Regions from separate parts of the Mus musculus genome. Here regions 1 and 2 are each reported to be linked to region 3. Evidence: microRNA targets listed by miRTarBase, many of them from high-throughput screens and not tested one by one. Region 3 holds a microRNA gene; each other region holds the end of a gene's coding sequence.

The links. Region 3 holds the annotated microRNA mmu-miR-468-3p (UAUGACUGAUGUGCGUGUGUCUG, at 3,800-3,822, opposite strand). A microRNA usually pairs through its seed, bases 2 to 8, with sites in the 3' UTR of a target mRNA and lowers its output. Matches are read on the target gene's strand: a 7mer-m8 pairs with bases 2 to 8, a 7mer-A1 pairs with bases 2 to 7 and ends in A, and an 8mer does both.
Region 1: miRTarBase lists Tapt1 as a target of mmu-miR-468-3p. Seed matches in the 3' UTR shown: 7mer-m8 at 5,703-5,709.
Region 2: miRTarBase lists Rai1 as a target of mmu-miR-468-3p. Seed matches in the 3' UTR shown: 7mer-m8 at 4,885-4,891.

What each region holds. Positions count from the first base shown.
Region 1 is chr5:44,170,651-44,177,845 of GRCm38, forward strand. Tapt1 (transmembrane anterior posterior transformation 1) reads right to left here. Exons shown (of 14, transcript NM_173764.3): 14 at 4,509-6,532. The coding sequence ends at 6,303. Among named protein-coding and RNA genes, the nearest start is that of Gm42427, 34 kb to the left of the region's middle.
Region 2 is chr11:60,196,838-60,204,032 of GRCm38, reverse strand. Rai1 (retinoic acid induced 1) reads right to left here. Exons shown (of 6, transcript NM_009021.2): 5 at 6,195-6,244; 6 at 4,838-6,002. The coding sequence ends at 5,988. It overlaps Srebf1 (sterol regulatory element binding transcription factor 1), which reads left to right. Exons shown (of 19, transcript NM_011480.4): 9 at 56-234; 10 at 426-687; 11 at 768-934; 12 at 1,103-1,271; 13 at 1,772-1,874; 14 at 2,128-2,237; 15 at 2,321-2,453; 16 at 2,622-2,787; 17 at 3,198-3,398; 18 at 3,496-3,607; 19 at 3,882-4,949. The coding sequence ends at 4,111. It overlaps Mir6921 (microRNA 6921), which reads left to right and starts at 3,416; the gene lies at 3,416-3,495. It overlaps Mir6922 (microRNA 6922), which reads left to right and starts at 1,706; the gene lies at 1,706-1,771.
Region 3 is chr6:81,892,803-81,899,997 of GRCm38, forward strand. It overlaps Mir468 (microRNA 468), which reads right to left and starts at 3,874; the gene lies at 3,797-3,874. Mir7232 (microRNA 7232) reads right to left here and starts at 2,861; the gene lies at 2,788-2,861.

The DNA.
Region 1 (7,195 bases), not on the chromosome of region 3:
ACCTCAGAGAAGAGTTGGATGTTTTGTGAGAGGTGCTTCAACAGTGGAACTTCCACCAGCTCAAAGCTTAAGTAGTCTCTAAGCTTATGTTTGTGGGCAAAATGAATCACACAGCAAGGGAAAGGAGGCCATATTTTTGTACTTTTCAATTCAAGGTGGTAGTATGGCCTTGACTCTCAGATATCTCTCGAAGGCCTGGTCCCCAGTTGGTGCTGTTGTTGGGAATGTGGATCTTTGTGGGAGGTGTGTTGTACTTGGAGATGCACGGTATTTTGGAGGCAGGCCCTTGAAAGTGACTGTGAAACTCATATGCCTTTTCCTCTTAGTTTTAGCTCTCTGATTGTTAGGTAAGCAGCCTTGCTTTGCCTCATGTTCCTGCCATCAGGAGCTGCTTCACTACAGGCCCAAAGCAATAGGGAAAATTGACCATGGATTGGGATATGTAAACTTGAAGCTAAGAAAACCTTTGCATTCTGGACTGAGGTATCCTCTGTAAAAGTAGCCAGCTGAGCACTCTGGGTGGAACCTGAACTGCTTTGGTTTTATTTCATCTTACCAAAGCTTTAGCAACCCAGCCTTCTGCTCAGCTCATTCTGGTGTTCAGCATGGGGTTCACAGACCATAGTCTTTCTTTGGTCTCATAGAAATGTTTGTCCTCCACTATGGCCCGTGAGCAAGGCCAGCTTGACCCTGGAGTCACTCCTGGAGCACGGCAGATTTGAAGAGGGTTCATCATGTGCTCGACAATGAGAAACAAAATCAGATAAAAGTTTGGCTTTCCACATGGTGTCAGCGCTGAAGTAAATGGACCAAGTCTGGGGTCAGGATCCTCTTTTTGGAGTTCTCAAGGGATATTGGAAGGCACAGGACTTCAGAGCAGTCTGGAGTCGACACTGCCATAGTATGGCTCCAGGTCTGCATGAGCCCATTGCATTCCATGCAGACAACCCACTAGCCTCCTTGATCCCTTGGCACTGCACTGGGTACCCACACCAACAGTATCTTAGCTTCTCTGGTCCTTAGGCTGGTGTGGATGTCCCCAGCAGTTTCCATACAGGGCCTCCTTTTCCCAACCCTTCTCTTGTAGAACATAGCTGATGGCACAGGGCAAGACTGTAGAAAGGGGTTCAAGGTCCTGCTCTGTCTCCTGTGTGGTGGGCACACATTACTCTTCCTTTCCAGATTGCGTTCCTAGCTGTAGGATGGGGACGACAGCATGCACTCCGTAAGGGGATGAAGATGTAGCAGCTGAGAACCACACTGTGCCTTCACACAAACCTCCAACAGCTATCAGGTATCAGTCCTTTGGGAGGTCAGCAGCCTGCCTTTCTTAACACATTGACCTAATCATAGTACTTGAAAGTGTCCAAAGTAGCTTCTTCACTTATCCTCTGTATACGTGAACTTAACATCCCACAGGAGCTCGCCTCTGTCCAGCCTCTGAGCGGAATCAGGGGCAGAATCCTCAGCCAGGCACTAAGAGCTCTCAAGCCCTGTCTCCATATAGAGTCCCTGCCACCTCCAACCAGAACTGCCTTCCTCTCTGTGGTTTCAGTAGTGGCTGGCTCTCAACACACATACACATACACACACACACACACACACACACACACACACACACACACACAGCGTGTGTTTATGTGTGTATAGGGGCCAAGGCTGTGCTGTAGACATACTGTGTGCTCTTCCCTCTTCAGTGACAACTACCTTGCCCTTCCTCCCCTTACCCTCAGCCCTAATCTAACAAGGCATCTTAAATTTAAGTGCACGTCCCTCACAGTGGCTCTTTTTAAATTCTTGCAAGCAGTACTGTTGGTCTCTATCAGGAGCTGAGGGACAAGGGATGCAGCACCATCTAAGGTGGTCTCCTGTGATCAGTGTCTGCAGACAGGGACAAGAGTGTCTCGTTGTCAGGTGTGCATTTAGCTGCCACTTCCCTTACCCACTAGACAAGATCCACTCACAACCACACAGCAGCACTTGTTCATTTTCGTGCCTCAAAGTAACTGGGACAGTAATGCCTACGAGCTTTCCTGTCTGCATTGCACTGGCCTTGTTAACTCGCTAGAACAGCATCTCTGACTTTCCCAGTATGTACGTTCCTGTGATGACAGGACCCTCATGAACTCCTTGGTTTCCTCATTGCTAGATGAGGTTGTATGTTCAAAGCAAAACTCTACCAACTGATGCTCACTCTTCTCTTCCGGTAACGACATCTCAAGAGCAGCCTCACCGGCCGGCAGAAGACCCCATCCCTCACTACCTTGCTCATGTTTAATCAGTCATGTCTTGTTTGTTCACCAGCCCCTAGGAACTCACCGTTCCCCATCCTTGAAACAAACATTTGAGAATCACTGAAACCTTCTCACCATGCCGATTTCTCCTGAGTAACTCACACCTCCCTCATCACTGACACTCCTTCCCTCACTAGGTGTTTTACAAGAAAACACTCTAAATCAGTGGGTCTCAACCTGTGGGGCCCAACCCCTTTGGAGGGGGGGGGGTCAAGTGACCTTTTCACGGGGGTCACCTAAGACCACTGGAAAACATAGCTATTTATATTACAATTCAGAACACTAGCAAAAATTATAGTTCTGAAGTAGCAACAAAAATAATTTTATGGTTGTAGTTACCACAACATGAAGAACTGAATTAAACTGTATAAAGGGTTGTAACATTTTGAAGGCTGAGAACCACTGCTCTAAAACACCCTGGATGTCTGAGGCATTTAATGAATACCACATACCACACTGAACTGTACCACAGGACTATTTTCGACAACCACTGGCATGGCATCCTTGGCTTCTGAGATATTTTTTTACCGCTTTCTTGGCTCATTAACATTCTACTTCTTGCTGTGCCCTGCGCACCCCCTCCCCCCCCCCCCCCCCCCCGTGTGTGTGTGTGTGTGTGTGTATGTGTGTTTGTAGGTCAGCGATCAACTTGTGTGAGTTGTTTCACTTCTTCCACAGTGTGGAGTCTGGGGATTGAATTCATATTGTCAGGCTTCGCAGCAAGTGCGTTTACCCGCTGAGCCATCTTGCTGGCTCCTTATATGTAAACTCTTACACATTCTTTCCTGACATAAAGGGCAAGAAATACCTGCTCACTAAGTCTGTGAACAAATCAGACTTTAATGTTCATCTCCAGGGCATGAGGGGTGTCAGCTCTGAAATACAGGGAGTAACGGCCCTTCCTGTTTCCTCTACTGACTCACGGTAAACAGGGACTCTACTGTCCACAGGGAGTGTTGCCGCAGCCGGAGTATCAGAGGGGTCTGACGCTCATCTCCTTTTCCTAATGTTGCCACAGACCTGCCTATCAGAGGCTGAGAACACAGGTGTTTCCGAATTTCTTTCTCTTTCATTAGAGTCTTGAGTATTCTAAGCCAATCAGCCATATTCCTTTTCACAGGCATCCTGGGCCTCAGGACCTTGACTCTGCTACTCTGGGGTGCTGTGCAATATACATGGCTAGGGATAGCTACCAGCTTCTCGGGGTTCCAAGGGTGCGAAGTGGACAGACTCGAAGGTGACTTACAGTATGATGGGCATAGACTTGAAAATGGCATATTAACCTCTAGACTCACAGTGAGAGGCCATGAAGCTTGGCTGCAGTCCTGTACACAGCATGCAGGAAGGCCAGAGTCTGGCAGGCAACTAGCAGTATTTGGTGAAAATTCTTTTCCTCTCTCTTCACCCCTTTTTAGAAAGCTCTGGGAAACTGCTACCAGATGACCTTAAGCACACAGCACAGGGAAAGATCAGCCTGACACCACGACGTGAACTGTGCTATCCTTGGTCTGCCATACATACTCGACCAATGTCCAGTTGTGTCCAGCAGGCAGAGACCTTGCTGTCTCCTGCTATCCCTTGCTCTGGGCAGTTCCTGACAGAGGAAACAACTAAGAAATCACTGTGGGAAAAACACTTAGAGCTGAGGCATATGAAAATAAAGTACTTTAAGGCAATCTTGTGAACTCATCTCTGCTGAGCTAGCAGAGGTGGCAGGGCAGGTGGCACAGAGTGGGTGAGGCAGATGCTGAGAAGCTGATTCAAGCATACTTTTTTCAAATGCTGGCACAAGACCACAGGGAGCCAAGATACATTCATCAATAGCATTTGGTACTTTGACCTGTAGGAAAAGCTAAAATGGGTCTGATGTACCGTGCACCATACTAAGACTATTTAAAAACCAAAGTATTGTCTTGACTGTGACTCCCATATTATGACAAGAAGACACTGTGACATCAAGATGCACCATAGAATGCAAATGTTGTCATGTGATAAGAGATACTAAATGGTCTATGACCAACATGCAGGCTATTCTTTCAAAGACAAAAGAGCAATTTTTTTTTTATCATTTAGGGCAAGAGTAACTAAACATACTTAACACAACCCTATTATTTGTAAACTAGAAATAAGTTCTGCTTAAATAAGAAATCTCTCAATGAGATATCCATTCCAACAAATATAATAGTAATCGTTGCCACAAGAAATTCAGTGACCTTTTTAAAAAAGATTATAAAATTGAATTTATTGAGTTTCACACAAGATGCACTTATAAAATTAGTACTGAATGCCATTATGACAGAAGTGAGTATCATCCACACTCCCAAGAGCATCTGCAAAGGAAATGCAATCTTCAGAGAACAGCGCGGAAACAGAAAACTCAAGCGGAACAGAAAGATACACCTAGGTCGTGCTCTTGTTCTGACCAGGGCTGCGTTTGGCAAAGCTTTTTCCACACGGCTCCTGGTTTCCATGGACACTCTCTTTCGGTAAAAAGAATAGTTTAAAAGTGGGGCCCCACTAAAACATACACAAAAGAATAAAAATGTTCATTTTAAACTTAAAATTGCTTCCTGGCTTTACAAGGCATAAATATATAGTATCTCCAACAGCTATCTTTAGATTCTGTTAGTGCAAAACATTAGAAACCCTCCTGAATCTCAAATGCATAAGCCAAAGCATCCAAACTAGTTTTATACTTATCCAGGATACAGCAAACCATTTAAAATTTGCCATCTGTGCCCAAATATTTGCATGAGAGCTGAGTTTCAGAAGACAGCATAGGAAATGAAGTTAAGAGTACCATCTTTTAGACAGTTCAGATCAGAAATGGTCAACTTTCTGTCTAAGAGAAGTGCAGAACAGACTCTTAAGATAAAGTAGGGTGTCGAGAATTTGTCCTGGGATGCTAATAGGTAGTAATGAAGCAGGAATAACATCTTTATCTCAGATGAAAACCCCAGAGCACCTTTTGGTTGCTAGTTACAGTGTCCCAAACACTCTACTTACGGTCGGTCGGTCATGTGAGGGTTTCCTCCCCACACAGAACAGACCCACAGGCAGACAAATGCATTTTACAAGCCCAGCAAGGTGACACTGCTCAATCTGCTGGGAATACTTTAAAACTGTTACTCAAACCAAAACAAAACCCAACAAACGAGCCTGGCACTAGCAACAGCTATGCAATGGCTATTCGCCAATTCAACACCAAATCCTTTAACTTGGAATAACCAATGAAGCAATTAGCCTTAAAGCAAAGCCAGGTCACACTGCACTTGTGCCTTTTACTCTGTTGACATTGCTCTGTGCCTTTTATTGTCACTGGGCCCGTGTCACACAGCTCACACTCTGCCCTGAGTAACCGAGGCAGCAGGAAGCATTTCTCAGTGACACATGACCTTTATAAAGTAAATGACTGGGCCAAGAGCTCACTGTTTCTCATAGGACGCTGCTATTCACCACGTTGTAGTTAAGTGGCCTTCTGTTCTGACTAGCTCAGATGTATTGCCAAGGATGACTCTGGTGGTAAGAACGTCATCTGGACTTAGATGTAGCAACTTGTCAATGCTTTGGCAGATGGAGTCAAGTCTGGAAAGAGTGTGTGGAGACAGTCTGAGGCTGGAAAGGGAACTCATGGTAGAAGCGTCACAGTTTCCCAGGTGTGTCCTTATCCTGAAGAGGCCTTGAGGAGAACCCGACGATCTGGAAGCCCAGGCTGACGAAGGAAAGGAGCTTCTGCAGTGCTTGGCCAGGTGCTGGAAGCAGCACTGCTGTTGGCCACGCAGGAGGAAGTGTTCAAGTGTCAGCATCCAGAGTCAGGGCCAGAGGCCACCGCTGCTCCGTGATCTGCCCTTCTGCAAGGCCACATTACTGGAAGAAAGATACTAAGATTTGCTTGCCATTAATAATTTAAGTTTTTAAATAAATATTTAAGTGCCATTTTTAGCAAGTGTCCTGGCACCCAGAATTTGTGGCCCGGGGCCTGACATCTTCATCTCATTAGTCACAAACTCAGTCAATCCGGTTCCCGCAAATTGTGAACCTGTCTATTTCTAACAAGTCTTTCTTTGAGGATCTGTGCTTTAACTCAGAATTTTCCTGTGTTATGTCCTTCTCATCACCATCTGGGGTTGTCAGGAACTGATCAGAATTGCTAGTCACGAGTAAAGGTATGACGTTTTCTTTCTGATGACCAGGCTGGCTGGTGACGGAGGCAGACAGGTTTTCTTCTGTGGAAAGGCCTGTGGAAAAGGAGATAATTTCTCTTCAGTCACAGCAAAAACTCATCAAACTACTTATGTCTTCAGAGTACTGGAAAGTATCTGTCATCTTTCCTCTTAGATACACCATATGAAAATTAAAAGCATACTGTATAAGCTGTCATTTACAATAAATTTAGAAGCTAGTCACACACTGTTTATCCAAAAATATTACCCATCCCATAGGTAACACTACCACCTGATTCTGGAAAGAGCCTGCCTCTGATTTTGCAGTCCCCTCCCACGTGACCACAATCTCTCAGGACTACTGCCTGAGTAGAAAATAGCACTGGCTCTTTACCCTGACCTCTGGGAAGAGCTAGGCAGACTTACCGTGTTGACTTCTTGTCTATACATTTTGGCTAGACTCAGACTAGTAGCATCATCAGCAGGAAGTCCAACTAGAAGGCACCCTGACCCGTTCACCCCTGCCCAGGAATCTAGGAGGCTGGCAGTGGAGGCACCAGAGCATATTAGGACCCACTGACCTCTGAATTATAAATCCACTCTCTTCCCCTTCCCTTCCCAGTGCTGGGGACTAAATCTAGTACTTTCTGCTTGCTAGGTTAAGTGTTCAACCATGGAGCCAACATTGTCAACCTCATTCAGTATCCTCTCCCCACAATTTGATCCTTAAGGAAACTT
Region 2 (7,195 bases), not on the chromosome of region 3:
TTGGGACTTTGGATTTCCGGAGAACTGAGTTCTCAGACCTTTTCTTTGCCTGTAGATGGCTCTAATTGGACCCAGTGGTTGCTGCCACCCCTAGTCTGGCTGGCCAATGGACTACTAGTGTTGGCCTGCTTGGCTCTTCTCTTTGTCTATGGGGAACCTGTGACTAGGCCACACTCTGGCCCGGCTGTACACTTCTGGAGACATCGCAAACAAGCTGACCTGGATTTGGCCCGGGTAAGGGGCTGACCCTGAGGAGGCGGGGTGGGGCCCCGGGCCTGGAAGGTGCTGGGTGCCTCTGCTCACTTCATTTTCTCCAGTCTGTCTCATCCCCCGCCTTCAGAGCTCCTGACTCTAGGGGCCCAGACAAGGGGGTACCCTGCTGCCATCCCTGCTGCCATTTTTCTTACTGAGAATCTTTTCTCTAGGGAGATTTCCCCCAGGCTGCTCAACAGCTGTGGCTGGCCCTGCAAGCGCTGGGCCGGCCCCTGCCCACCTCAAACCTGGATCTGGCCTGCAGTCTGCTTTGGAACCTCATCCGCCACCTGCTCCAGCGTCTCTGGGTGGGCCGCTGGCTGGCAGGCCAGGCCGGGGGCCTGCTGAGGGACCGTGGGCTGAGGAAGGATGCCCGTGCCAGTGCCCGGGATGCGGCTGTTGTCTACCATAAGCTGCACCAGCTGCATGCCATGGGTATGGCTGGCTGGGAGCTGGGCTCCGAGGGTCCCCACCACACCGTCACCTCCTGTCCTCATGCCTCACCCACTTTGCAGGCAAGTACACAGGAGGACATCTTGCTGCTTCTAACCTGGCACTAAGTGCCCTCAACCTGGCTGAGTGCGCAGGAGATGCTATCTCCATGGCAACACTGGCAGAGATCTATGTGGCAGCGGCCCTGAGGGTCAAAACCAGCCTCCCAAGAGCCCTGCACTTCTTGACAGTGAGTAGGCTGATGGGGACAGGGCTGGGGGCTCCTCTTTACAACTCTCAACCTGTCACTTCCAGGGCAAGGGGCTAAACAGGATGTGGCAGTGGTTAGCAGGTGGGCTGTAGGCCCTCCTGGGATCCAACTGGGAGCCAGTGTGACAGTTCTGTTCCTTCCCTACAGCGTTTCTTCCTGAGCAGCGCCCGCCAGGCCTGCCTAGCACAGAGCGGCTCGGTGCCTCTTGCCATGCAGTGGCTCTGCCACCCTGTAGGTCACCGTTTCTTTGTGGACGGGGACTGGGCCGTGCACGGTGCCCCCCCGGAGAGCCTGTACAGCGTGGCTGGGAACCCAGGTGCTTTCTCGTTCTGTTCTTACCCCTGCCTCATCCCTGTCCCTATGTCACATTGCACTGTCCCCTCTTCTCTGAATGCCCTCACTTACCAGCTTATATTGCCCTGTGGGGTTGGGGCTGTGAGGTGGCTATGAGGTGGCTTTTGCTGGATTTTGCCAAGGTTCTTTAGAAGCAGGAAGCAGTATGGGTCAGCAGACAATGGGGGACATGAGAGGTGACTCTAGGGGACACCATTGTTGTCTTAGGAAGAGTCCTGAGCAGAGTCAGGGCCATGGGTATGTGACTAAATAGGCTCTCCTTTCCAGTGTGTAGCTTGTGCACAGCCTACCCCTTCTTCCCCATCAAGCTTATGAGGGCAGGGACCCATCACTGTCTGTCTGTTAGGGTTTGGAACTAGGAAGTAGCTCTGGGTTGGGGCCCCAGCTTATTAAGGCATTGGTGTGGGAGGGGACTGTAGAGAGGAGGGTGCCTAACCTCTGTTCTGCTCACCCTTCTCACAGTGGATCCGCTGGCCCAGGTGACCCGGCTATTCCGTGAACATCTCCTAGAGCGAGCGTTGAACTGTATTGCTCAGCCCAGCCCAGGGGCAGCTGACGGAGACAGGTGAGTTTGTCTGTGTCACTCCCAGGCAAGACCTACAACAAGGGCATCTGGGAAAGCCTTGTCCAACCTCTTGAGTAGCCAGACTCTGTTCTCAGAGCCTCTCTGGGTCTTGCTTTCCCCTATCAGCCAGACAGGTGGTATTTTTGTAGAATCCTAGGGTCAGACTATGCTTGGTTGGACGGTTGGTGAGAGCCATTTTCACCCAGAACCCGAGACTGCTGCTATGTGTCCTGACAGCTCTCTCCTGCCTCAGGGAGTTCTCAGATGCCCTTGGATATCTGCAGTTGCTAAATAGCTGTTCTGATGCTGCCGGGGCTCCTGCTTGCAGTTTCTCTGTCAGCTCCAGCATGGCTGCCACCACTGGTGAGCTCCAGACCCCCGTCCTGACTCCTGCCAGACCCAGATACAGTGTGGCTGAAAGTCAAGCACCTTTCCCTCTTCTGTAGGCCCAGACCCAGTGGCCAAGTGGTGGGCCTCACTGACAGCTGTGGTGATCCACTGGCTGAGGCGGGATGAAGAGGCAGCTGAGCGCTTGTACCCACTGGTAGAGCATATCCCCCAGGTGCTGCAGGACACTGAGTGAGTCCCCAGCCAGGTCCCTCCCGCCCAGTCAGCCCCGCAGTACTTTGCTTAAATATCTGTACAGGAGGACAGTGCTGTCCTCCCAGGAGTCTAGAACCGTGGCGGGAGATCTCAGGGAGGGCTGTAGTTTGGTCTAACTTCCTATGTCTGCCATGGCCCCAACAGGAGACCCCTGCCCAGGGCAGCTCTGTACTCCTTCAAGGCTGCCCGGGCTCTGCTGGACCACAGAAAGGTGGAATCTAGCCCAGCCAGCCTGGCCATCTGTGAGAAGGCCAGTGGGTACCTGCGGGACAGCTTAGCCTCTACACCAACTGGCAGTTCCATTGACAAGGTGAGGGGTAGGGTGGGTTCCTGTCTAGGCCAGGGTCACAGCTGTCCATTTCCAGGTTCTTGGTGTTAGTACAGAATAATGCTAAATGGATTTACCTCAGTTTTAACGACGGCTTAAGTCTTGGGGAGAGGGGGCTTTACTGTTTCGCCACCACCAGGAAGGAGGGTGTGGGGAGCAGACTGGCAGGGTTCCTGTTGGGAGCCATTGTTGGGAAGACTGCGGGCTTGTAGCAGGAGGCGGTGCATGTGTTGAGGCAGATGCAGTGCTTCAGTGATGCAACCTGGAGTCAGGCCCCAGTGCTGTGGACTTCCTGCCCTTACTGACGCTGCCTTGAGACAGGGTGGCCCTCAGCTAGGGAAAGCTTGATGTCCATAGGGAAACTCCTCCCTCTGCCCTGCCTGCTATCCCAGGCCATGCAGCTGCTCCTGTGTGATCTACTTCTTGTGGCCCGTACCAGTCTGTGGCAGCGGCAGCAGTCACCAGCTTCAGTCCAGGTAGCTCACGGTACCAGCAATGGACCCCAGGCCTCTGCTCTGGAGCTGCGTGGTTTCCAACATGACCTGAGCAGCCTGCGGCGGTTGGCACAGAGCTTCCGGCCTGCTATGAGGAGGGTGAGTCCCACTGTTCTCACACTGAGGGGCATGAGGTAGGAAGCCGGGAGTGGGGGGACAGTAAATCTGAAACGGGTGACTACTCCTTGCCTCTCAGGTATTCCTACATGAGGCCACAGCTCGGCTGATGGCAGGAGCAAGTCCTGCCCGGACACACCAGCTCCTGGATCGCAGTCTGAGGAGGAGGGCAGGTTCCAGTGGCAAAGGAGGTGAGGAGGTGGCTGTGCTTACAGGGCTGGTGAGGGTCAGGGGCCGTCTTGGTCTAGTGAGACATACTGAGAGCTGACTTACAGAAATCAGCGGGGATGACAGTTTTTGAGGCAGTCATAGGAAAGAAGCTGAGCCCCCCTGTGTGCCCAGCCCAAGTGGAGAAAGCAGCCAGACTGGGAGTTCCACGTGGAAGAGCTCAGCTACTTTGTCCTGCACATGGGGTGTGGGCTCGGCCAGACCTAAGCCTCCCTCCCTTTGATGTGATCTGTGCAGGCACTACAGCTGAGCTGGAGCCACGGCCCACATGGCGGGAGCACACCGAGGCCCTGCTGTTGGCATCCTGCTATCTGCCCCCTGCCTTCCTGTCGGCTCCTGGGCAGCGAATGAGCATGCTGGCCGAGGCGGCACGCACCGTAGAGAAGCTTGGCGATCACCGGCTACTGCTGGACTGCCAGCAGATGCTCCTGCGCCTGGGCGGCGGAACCACCGTCACTTCCAGCTAGACCCCAAAGCTTTCCCTTGAGGACCTTTGTCATTGGCTGTGGTCTTCCAGAGGGTGAGCCTGACAAGCAATCAGGACCATGCCGACCTCTAGTGGCAGATCTGGAAATTGCAGAGGCTGCACTGGCCCGATGGCACCCTCTTGCTCTGTAGGCACCTTAGTGGCTTTTCCCTAGCTGAGGCTCACCCTGGGAGACCTGTACATAGTGTAGATCCGGCTGGGCCTGGCTCCAGGGCAGGCCCATGTACTACTTTGACTTTTGCAAACTTTATTTTCATAGGTTGAGAAATTTTGTACAGAATATTAAAAAATGAAATTATTTATAACTTCAGTTTTGTTTATCTGGGTAGGCAGATGTCTGCCTCAGCTGATTGCTATCTTTCCTGGCTTGTCCTTTGGGAAGCCGGACTTCCCATCTGTTGTAAGGTGTATTTGCTGGCTTGGTGATGCTATGTTGAGCCACCTTGGCCCTCTGATCTCATGGCTCATAACCCTTGAGGGGCCTTGATGGTCTCAGTTGTTCCTTTGCCTTCCAGCCCTCCACCAGGTAATAACCCCGTATATCCAGAAACACACACAGTTCCCTAGTCATCTCTGTGCACCAGCATAGGCGAAGGATCAGGGCCCATTAGTGAGTAGACTGGGAACCCTGTTTGTGTCCCCCGGCCCCTTCCCTCTACTCCCAACCCCTTAGGGAATCTGGTCGGCATCCACAGGCCGCACACTTCCAAAACAATCGTGGTATCTTTATTGACTTTTTTTTTTCTGAATGCAATGACTGTTTTTTTTTTTTTTAACTCTTAAGGAAAATAAACATCTTTTAGAAACAGCTCGATACACACAATCTTCAGTGTGAAGCAATATACTAATAAGAACACTAGTTGTCTTAACATTTACAGTCTTCATATATATTATATATATGTATATGTATACATATATATACACTATATAACGAGGCCAGATATAATACACACGTTTACCATTTTACAGTCATATGTACAGAACGTTGCAGGGAGAAGGGGCTGCATCAGGCCTATTAAAGCGTGGACAGAGCTGAGGACACAAACGGACAGGTGGGGGCTGGCCGTGGTGGTGGTGATGGTGGTAGTTGCTCGGGGAAGGGGCATCACTTTGGCCCCGACCCCAGCCAAGGCCAGGTTAGGGCTCTGTGCTGTGGAGCACACGACGCACAGCAGCGACACACAGAAGCGAGCATGTTCCCAACATATATACATTCTATGTAACATATATATAGAGGGGTACACAGGTTTGTACACGAATCTAGCACTGTCTCCGCCTATGAGCCGAGTGAGCTGAGTGGCAGTCCCTGAATCCCATGTTGGTGTTTTGTCTGGGACAGCTGCACATCTGCTAGAGGGTAGCCAGGCCCAGTCTCCTCAGGCTTCCAGACGGGGCTCCAACAGTGGGGTGGAAGACTGGAAAGGGGACAAACAGAAGCCATAGGGCGCCACCCCAGGCCAGCCCGCATCAAGGATAGACTGGCCTGAGCCCAGGCTGCCACGATCTTGGGCAGATCCATGCCAAGTGCTGAGCCATGTCCCCCGCCGCTGGGCCTCTAAGAAAGGCTTGGGTCTGCCCCACGTCGTCCACTGAGCCAGCAGCCTAGCCTCTTCCCAGGGGCACAGCTTGCATGCCACGTCTTTTTCAGAACTTGCAGGGGACTTGCCCCCCGCCTGAGACATTGTGCCCTGGGTCTGGCCACTCCCTGGCCTGCCTTCGCCAAGCCTGGCCCCGGTTTTCTTCGCAACCTAGGCCTCACGCCAGCGCCCAAGGCAGCCGGAACCTAGACCCTGGATGGGATCAAGGACCGGCTGTGGGCGCAGCTCTTCTTCCTCGGAGTTTCGGCCACACGGGGATTACAACGGCAGCCTCTGTGGGAGGGACAGCCCGTTACTGTTATCACCAGCCGCTGCCACCCCTGTCCTTCCACAAGAACTGTGCAATCACCCTAGACTGGCAAAGTAACTTTAGGACCCAGCCTGCACCCCTCCCTACTCTCTGGCAGGGCAGGGAGAAACTGGGTTAGGTAGGGAATGCTTTCTCTGGGGAGCCTGCTCACCTACCTTATGTTTGGGGCACTTCAAAGTAAAATTCTCCTCAATGAACGTGCAACCTGTGAGCAAAGAAAAGTTTCTGTGGTGATGCAGAGCCGGCTGGCTGCCAGTGTTAGTTCTGATGCCCTGGTCTTGCTCAGAACCCTCATTAGTCCAAATCCCCCCAGAGGTGCAGCCCCTCTGCCTCTACCCTGCTATGTCCCTTCCTGGCCTCCACTCCTAGACACCCCCCCTGCCCCACCCCCACCCTGGCCACCACTACCTGGCCATCTCCCTCCTACCCAGGTCTCCCCAAAGGAGAAGGAACACTCATTCTCAGACATGCCCACTCCTGACCCAACCTCCTGCACAGTGGCCAGGAGAGGTCCATGCTCAGAAAGCACCCCATGATTGCTTGGGTGACTGACAACTGCAGAGTGGAGTCTCAGGTCTTGACTGAAATGTCAGCTACAGAATCTCAGCCTCTATATTGTAGATCAATCACAATGTCACCTACTGTGTGCTCTCATGATCCTTCTTCACGTTCAGAGGAAATGTTCCACACGGAAGGGCTTATTCTTAAGAGACAGCAGTAGGAGGTTACAAGGTCCAGGTCTAGATGAATCCCCCAGATGTCCACAAAGGATGGCTAAGCAAGCCAGTTGTTATTCCTACCCAGGGCAGTGTGCTGCTATCATGAGTCCTTGCCAGCTGCCATAAGAAAACCTAGCCATTGTCCTCTGGTGTCCGCTCTACCTACAGGCCTCCTGGGTCCATCATTGCTCCCTTCTCGGCTACTGATCGGGGCTCACCTTCCCAGACATCGCCTCCCATCTCACACTAGGGATGGTGCAGAACTTCCTGTTTCCTTCCCTCTTCTCCACCCAGAGGGGAGGGAGGTGGATGTCACTTGAGAAAGCTGCAGGAGAGGTTGTCTTCTAGGGCCAACTGCTGGGGGTGGGTGCACGCAGGCACACACGTTTGGGACTGCACCTACACTGGACCAAGGTTTAGCTATAACCTACGGGTGC
Region 3 (7,195 bases):
GCTCTGTAATCTTGTCCCTCTCTCTGAGCCATTGTATTCCCATATGCTGGTGATCTTCCATGGTCCCTCCATCTCTAAACCCTTGAGGAACACAGTAGGATTGAATTAGCCTTGACCTCCCTAGGTACAAGAGGGAATGTGGCCCTGCTTTCCCCTGCCACACCTGCTGGATCCTTGGCTCCAAGAGTTCCTGGCTTGGTACTGCAGCTGTAGCCATAGCTGTTGCCTCTCCATTTACCACATCCTGGATAGGCAAACCACCTTCATCGATAGCGTTACCTTTTGATGAATATAACCATTCTCCCATCCTCTTGCTTATCTAACTTAATTGTCATATTATAAGCTTCTGTGAAGGATGCTAGCTGTATCTCTTTCTTGTGTTATCCCCTCCTTCACAGTTTCCTGTGTGGCCATTATATCAGCCACAGATGCATTTCTTACTACATACAACCAGAGACCAGGCAACCTCTGTGTCTGCTTGCTGAAAATCTCCATCCTAATGCATATTTGAAGGCTGCAAAATTTCCTCTTAAGTTTTTTTAACTCATTTCCGGGCATCTCCATATTCACATGGTAGACTCAAGTAGGCATGTCACCCCATAGCAAGTAGATGAAGACTGCCATTTTGTCCTTCCTCCCACAGACACTCCTATTCCTGATGGCTCAGCCTCAGTTGCCTGTCTCACAACCCCAAGCAAGAATCATGCAACTGCTCCCATTGCAAAAAAGCACACTAACATGTCATACAGGAAATGGAGAATGTATCCCAACGTCCTCCAGGAGTGCTCCTTCTGACAGGCTGCTTAGCCTAGGTTGCATGGCTTGCTCCCCAGAGTCAGCACAACGCCCTCATTCCTCCCCGGCTCATCTTTGATTCTATTCTGCCGAGTCCCTCTCAGATGACGACAATGTTGACAGACTTTTCCTGAGGACATGTCTATTTAACAAGTGTCTATTTACCACAGATAGGGAGCCCATGACTAAAAAATGAAAGGATATAACCAAAGTCCAGCTTGGTGAACCAATCAATGAGTTTTATTGGGGTCACTTACAGGAATATGGGTGAGTAGCTAATTACAGGAACAGAAATGACTCAAAGCCCACTGATAGCTCACAAAAGCTGGCAAGTTGGAGCTTACTGCACAGCCTGCAGGTGATGCAGCAGAATGAAGAGTGTCCATTCCAGATTGTTTAGTTGGCCTAATTCTGTTCCGGGCATCATCTCTGTTGCTCTCTGCTACTTTCCCTCCTTTCTTTCTTTCTTTCTTTTCTTTTCTTTTTTTTTTTTTTTTTTTTTTTTTTTTTTTTTTTTGAGGCTGCTTTTGCTTAGCTGGTCTGTTTATTTTCTGGATGCTTGGCTTTCCTGTTTTTCCAGGCATCTGGGTTCATCTCAGTTGTCTTGCTTTTCAGAGAGAGGCAATCTTTATTGTTTACTATTGGGAGGGAGGGAGCTAGTGAATGTGGACCAGTTTCAGGAACTTCCTGAAGCTGTTTTGGGATTTACTTCCCCCTCAAAGAGCTTCTCTGAAGAATAGAACATTTTAATCTTGGAGGAAATTGCTACAACACAATCCTTTACTTCAAATCGACCATAACTCACCAATTTAGGGTAAGAACAAACTCACCCAAAGGTGACCCAAGAAAATTATTGATTTTTCACTTATTGATGAACAAAGATGCAAAAATTACTCATGAAATACTTGCAAACAGAATCCAAGAGAAAAAAATCCCAGAGACACAAATAAATTGACTCAAGGACAGAAATCATGTGGCCATCTCAGCTTATACACTAAACTGATAAAATTCAGTGTCCCTTGATGATAAATAGCCCCAGAGAAACTTGGAATAGAAGAAACATATCTCATTGTATCAACTGTGTATTACAAACCAATATCCAATATTACACTAAATGAGAAAAAAATCAAACTATCCTTACTAAAGTCTGGAACAAAAAGTCATCACTGTCTCCACCTACATTCAATATTCTACGTAAAGTCTACGCAGTAAGTGACAGAAGTGAAAAGGCAACAAGAAATCAGAGATCTGGTTTGCAGAGGACACGATTCTTTATTTGACACCTACAGACCCCACCAGGAAGTTCTTAAGAACCATCAATAGTTTCAGCAGAGCAGCAGAACACAGACCCAACATAAAAGGAGACACAGAGTGCAGGCTGAAATTCAGTGATAGAACTATGGACCAAAACTTGTTACAGAAGCTGATGGAAGAGAGTCTGAGGACCAGGGCAGGGCACACAGCATCTCCCAGAGAGGAGAAAGAATAGGACCTGCATATTCATATGTTTAAACATCCAATTTTTATGAAATGACCCTTCCACACATTGCATTTGAATCAGGAGTGCTCACACAAGGCTTCCTATTTCAAGTTTAATCCACAGTGTGTTCTATTTCAAAGTGACAAAAAACTTTACGATTGCTCCTTGGTATTAAGAGGCCCAACTTATCTTCTTCCCTTCCTCTCACAATTTTATCTTTTAAAGGTAGGGTCTCTTCAAACAGAAAAAGCCTCAAACTTGCTATGTAACCAAGGCTAAGAACTTCCAATCCTCCTGCTTTCCCAACACTGGGATTATGAGAATGTATCACCAAACCAAGTGTAAGATGCTGGAGATAGAACTCTGTGCTAAAACTTCTGGGATGGAGCGAGCCAGGTTTGAATGTTAGATTGTCTCCCTCTTTTCTGTCTCGGAATGACCAATCTCTGTAACCGATCATCAAGACACCAGCATGCCACCAGAAGAATAAGTAAAGATTTTTACTCAGCAAGGCCCCAAAGTCGAATTCAACCAAGACTTTTCGTGTGCTTGCTACGAAAGCCTTGGAAAAACAATCATCCATGTAGCATTCGCCCCACAGAAGTGGCAAAACAGAAGAGGCCATCCTCTTAAATAACAGACTTTTATCTTGAGAACCTGCAGTTTCCATTTCCTTTCCTGTGACTGATACTCCACTTATGCTTCCCTAGTGCTTAGGCTCCTCTCTGTCGCTCATGGGGGGGGGGGGGGGGGAGTTTGGCATTGTCACCCAGAACAGCTCCCTGGGGTCAAGTACACAAGGACCAAAGGGGATGTTGTCATGACTCAGCAAGTTCATGAGAAGGAGTGGCCATTAAGCAGGCTGTGTGTGCACTGCTGAAGGTTTTGACTGTCCTTTCTCTGCTCAGGCAGGCAGTTGTCGGACCACTGCCAGTGTGTAACAGAGCCCGGATTCCTCTGCTCATCATGGGCCTTTAGAGTGGCATAGGGAAGAGGTTTCCTTCTTAGCCACTGCTGTAGGCACACAGAACCTATATGACATTGGAGCACATGTTATATGTGAGACTAATCAGTTTAAGACTTTTCCTTGAGTCAGACTTTTCATCATTTTGAGTAGGCTGTCCTCAGAAAATGATTCACCAGAACAAGAAGGCTATGTGGGTTAAAAAGAAGATCATGAGAGAGCTATCTGTCGTGTCTGGTTTCCACGTGTCTAGTATTCTATAATCTAAAAAGTTGCAGGCTGGGCGTGGTGGCGCACGCCTTTAATCCCAGCACTCCGGAGGCAGAGGCAGGCGGATCTCTGAGTTCGAGGCCAGCCTGGTCTACAAAGTGAGTTCCAAGACTTCTATTTCAGGCTCCATTCTAGAACATAGGTTCTTTTTGGTTTTTCATTTAGACTTACAGAACTCAGTCTCTTGAGATCATAATAGTAATAAATCATAAATCATAATAAACCTCCCTCTCTATTCGTCCCCCCCCAAAGACAAGGACTCTCCCCAGCCCCACGTGTGTCCTCCCAGACAGACACACGCACATCAGTCATATCACACTGAGTTTCTTATCAGTACATCAGTCACGACACGCCAAGTTTCTTATCAGTCTTTCTCAGGCACAGTTCTGACAAAGAAGGAAATACTGTTTGGTTCTGTGCCCGATCCAAACGTTAAGGTTAGCAGCACCCCTGGGTGAAGCATCTGACTAGGTGACAGTGGTGCCATGTCCCTAGCTCTGACAAACCTGAGTCTCTTGACATGGCCTGTGCTGAAGGGTTGTCCTGCCTTTGACCTAATGCCCTAAAATATGGTATAAGCAGAGATCCACTGTGACTGAGTCACAGTCACAGTGCAGGAGAAGAACCAAAGTCCTCATTGTCAGGTTTGAAGAAGAGAAGGGCTGTTTCCTCTAACTTCTAGTGGTTCACTAACACCATCCACAGCCTCCCAAGTGCTGATTGACAGGCTGGATCACTAAGATAGCTGAGGTTTGCTTTTGAGTGCCTGGTTTTGAAAAGGTAGGTCTCTCTCTCTCTCTCCAGCATGGAGATTAGGTAGACAAGGGCTTTCAGGGTGTGCCTCTTCTCACCCCAGGCACCCCCAGAACCCTGCATGCAGAGGCCACGTCCCCTCAGGGCATCATGTCGATGTCTGCACATTTCTGTACATCTTACTCACTCTGGAGTTCCTTTGGACTCCTTGTGGAGAAAACGAGGAAGCACACCAAATATCAGACATCTGTTAGCACTGGGACAAGAAAGAACATCCTCGGTGTGGGGCTTCCCTGTCTCTGGGGCTGACCTAAAGTCTCCAGGGCATCACAGAGCTGCTGAGACAAAAGCCTCAGGGCCTGAGCACTGGGTAGGAGAAAGGAGCTGGTGTTGCCTCTCCAGTTCAGCACAGACAGGCAGGACGGCAGGGCAGGGGGCTCCGTGCACATGGGACACTGCTGTCTCTCCCACCCTTCCTTCTTCTTTTCTGACATTAGAACTGTTCCCATTTGCCATTTCAGTGCTGTATCTCAGACTGGGAAAATCATTTTCCTAAAGCCAAGAGCCTTAAAGCCAACTCCTCAATCAGTACAACAGAGTGTGAGCTACACCTGGCAGGCAAATCAGTGTAAAGATGACAGAGACGAGAGGATTGTATGTCAGCTATGCAGCCTGTGCCTGGTGACTGGATTGTGCTGCACCAATGGAGTCTGTCCTTTTAATGGACTAATTTATTTTGATGACACAGGTCAGTGCCTCAAAATAGTCAAGCACAAGAATTGATGGGGACAATTCTTATAGATTCATCCTTTGTATCTCAATAAGGCAACTTGAGGACAAACATCTATGAACTTTCTGTCAGCAAGAAACCTGCCACGGTGAACACTCTCACCAGAACATAAGGTATTTCACAGGGAATGAGCAAGAAATTTAGTGTGGTTATCCTATCTGTAGTCAATGACTTTCCCAATCATATGCAGTATGCACAGCACCTTGTTGGGAACAGTTTCAACTTGTGGAAAAGCAGGTAGTGCTCAGCACTGCTCCCTAGCTAGGCAAGAATACACACAGTCAGCAAGTTCATACTAATTTATAGCTGTTTGCTGAGGAATTCTGTAAGTTGGTGTTGATAGTCAGTAGAGGGTTGAACAGTTCTGCATTATACATCCCCTAAGTAAAAGGAGTTTAATACTTGATATTTTATGCTATCTTAAATGTCCCTGGAAGTGAGCATCAGAAAAACATTGGAGGCTTTATTTTTGGTTCAAATTCACCAAAGACTACCAGTCAGCAAGTGTAATGTTTCCTGTCAGCCTTGCCTGGGATACAGAATGCATATATCAACCAAGTTACAGAGAAGAACTATAGATGAACGTTGTATCAGATACAGTGAAGGTTCAAGACTTCCAGAAAGGATAAGGTGCGGACCTGAGCGACTGTCAGTCCATAATGTGCTTTCCAGGCAACGTGAGGACCTGAACTGTAGGCCCAGAACCCAAGTATCAATAATGATGATGATGATAATAATAAAAATAAAGCAGGAAAGTTGTGCACACCTGTAATCCCAGCACTGGGAAGGACGAGACAGGCTGATCCCGTGTAGGTGCTGGCCAGCAACCATTACCAAAGGGGTGAGCTTCAAATCCAATGAAAGATTCTCCCAGAAAAACTGACTAAACACTGACACCTAAAGTTGATGACTGAGCTCCATACTTACATGCACAAACACACAAAAATGCAATGAGGTCAATGCATTTCAAAATTTCAATGGAAATATTGAGCCTTCACTGTTCCTAAAGACAGCTATATAATAAGGATATGGTGACCATGCTCCATGGTTCTTGGGGTATGCAAAAGAGCATGGATTCTGTGTGAGCAAATCAAACCAGAGAGCACTGCTACACTTTGGACATACCCGTGTTGAGAAGACTTTTCTGAGATACGAACTATAAGCCTAAAACTTTTTTCTTTCTCTCTGCAGAAGAAGGAAAAGGAGGAAGTGGCCTAGGATGTTGCCCTCTGATATTAAGAACTTTAAACAGCTTTGTCTAGGGATTTCCTCAAGGTAGACTCTGATCCAACTAGGCCAATGGTTGCTGATGCAGAAAATCCCTGGGAGGAGGTAGGCTTCACTACAACATGGTCATCCACTAAGGCTAAAGCTCCCTAAATAGAAAACACCCAAACAATCCACTGCTGGTACAAGATATAGAAGATGCATGTGAAGATGTAACTTGGGCCAGGGAAAGGATCATTTTAAAAGCTGTGGCTCCCAGCATATTGGCATCACCCTTCCAGGAAGGACAAGTGTTATTCTAGAGGACTCCTCCAGCATATCAACAGCAGCCTCTCTGGCAATAGAGAACACCATGCTAACAAGCCCAGGGAAGTCACCACTGAGTTCTGACTTGGAAAAATCTCGTGTAGAGGTCCTCATGAAGTCAGCAATCCACACACTTCCAGACATAGGTTAAGAATCATACAGTGAGCATTCTTTGGCCTTGAGCCTGTGCACTGGGCAGTTTTCACACTTGCAAAATCCAATGGAGGTTCAAGAGAAAACTGCTCAGTTCCATTCAGAAGGGAGAAATAAGCAAGAGGTACCAGGCCAGGGCAGCACTCTGTCCATGAGAACACCCAATGTTCTCGCAGTTGAGGTCTCAAGACTGCAGCTTTTCCAGGCTGCAGATGGACACTGATCAGCACGTAGTTTCTGGTTCTCAATAGATTGCCATACTCCTACACTGCCCCTTAGAGACTCTGTGTGAAGAGTTTCTCTTGAGACAGTCTCTGTGTTGGCCCTGAGACTGACTGCAGCACCCTTTGAAATCTAAGTGAAGTTCCTCTGGGCCAACAGCTCTTAGGAGAACTGGCCTAAGCATTGCCACGTCAGGCTTTCTTCAGGGAAGAAGCTCTGCAATTTTGGTAGTTTG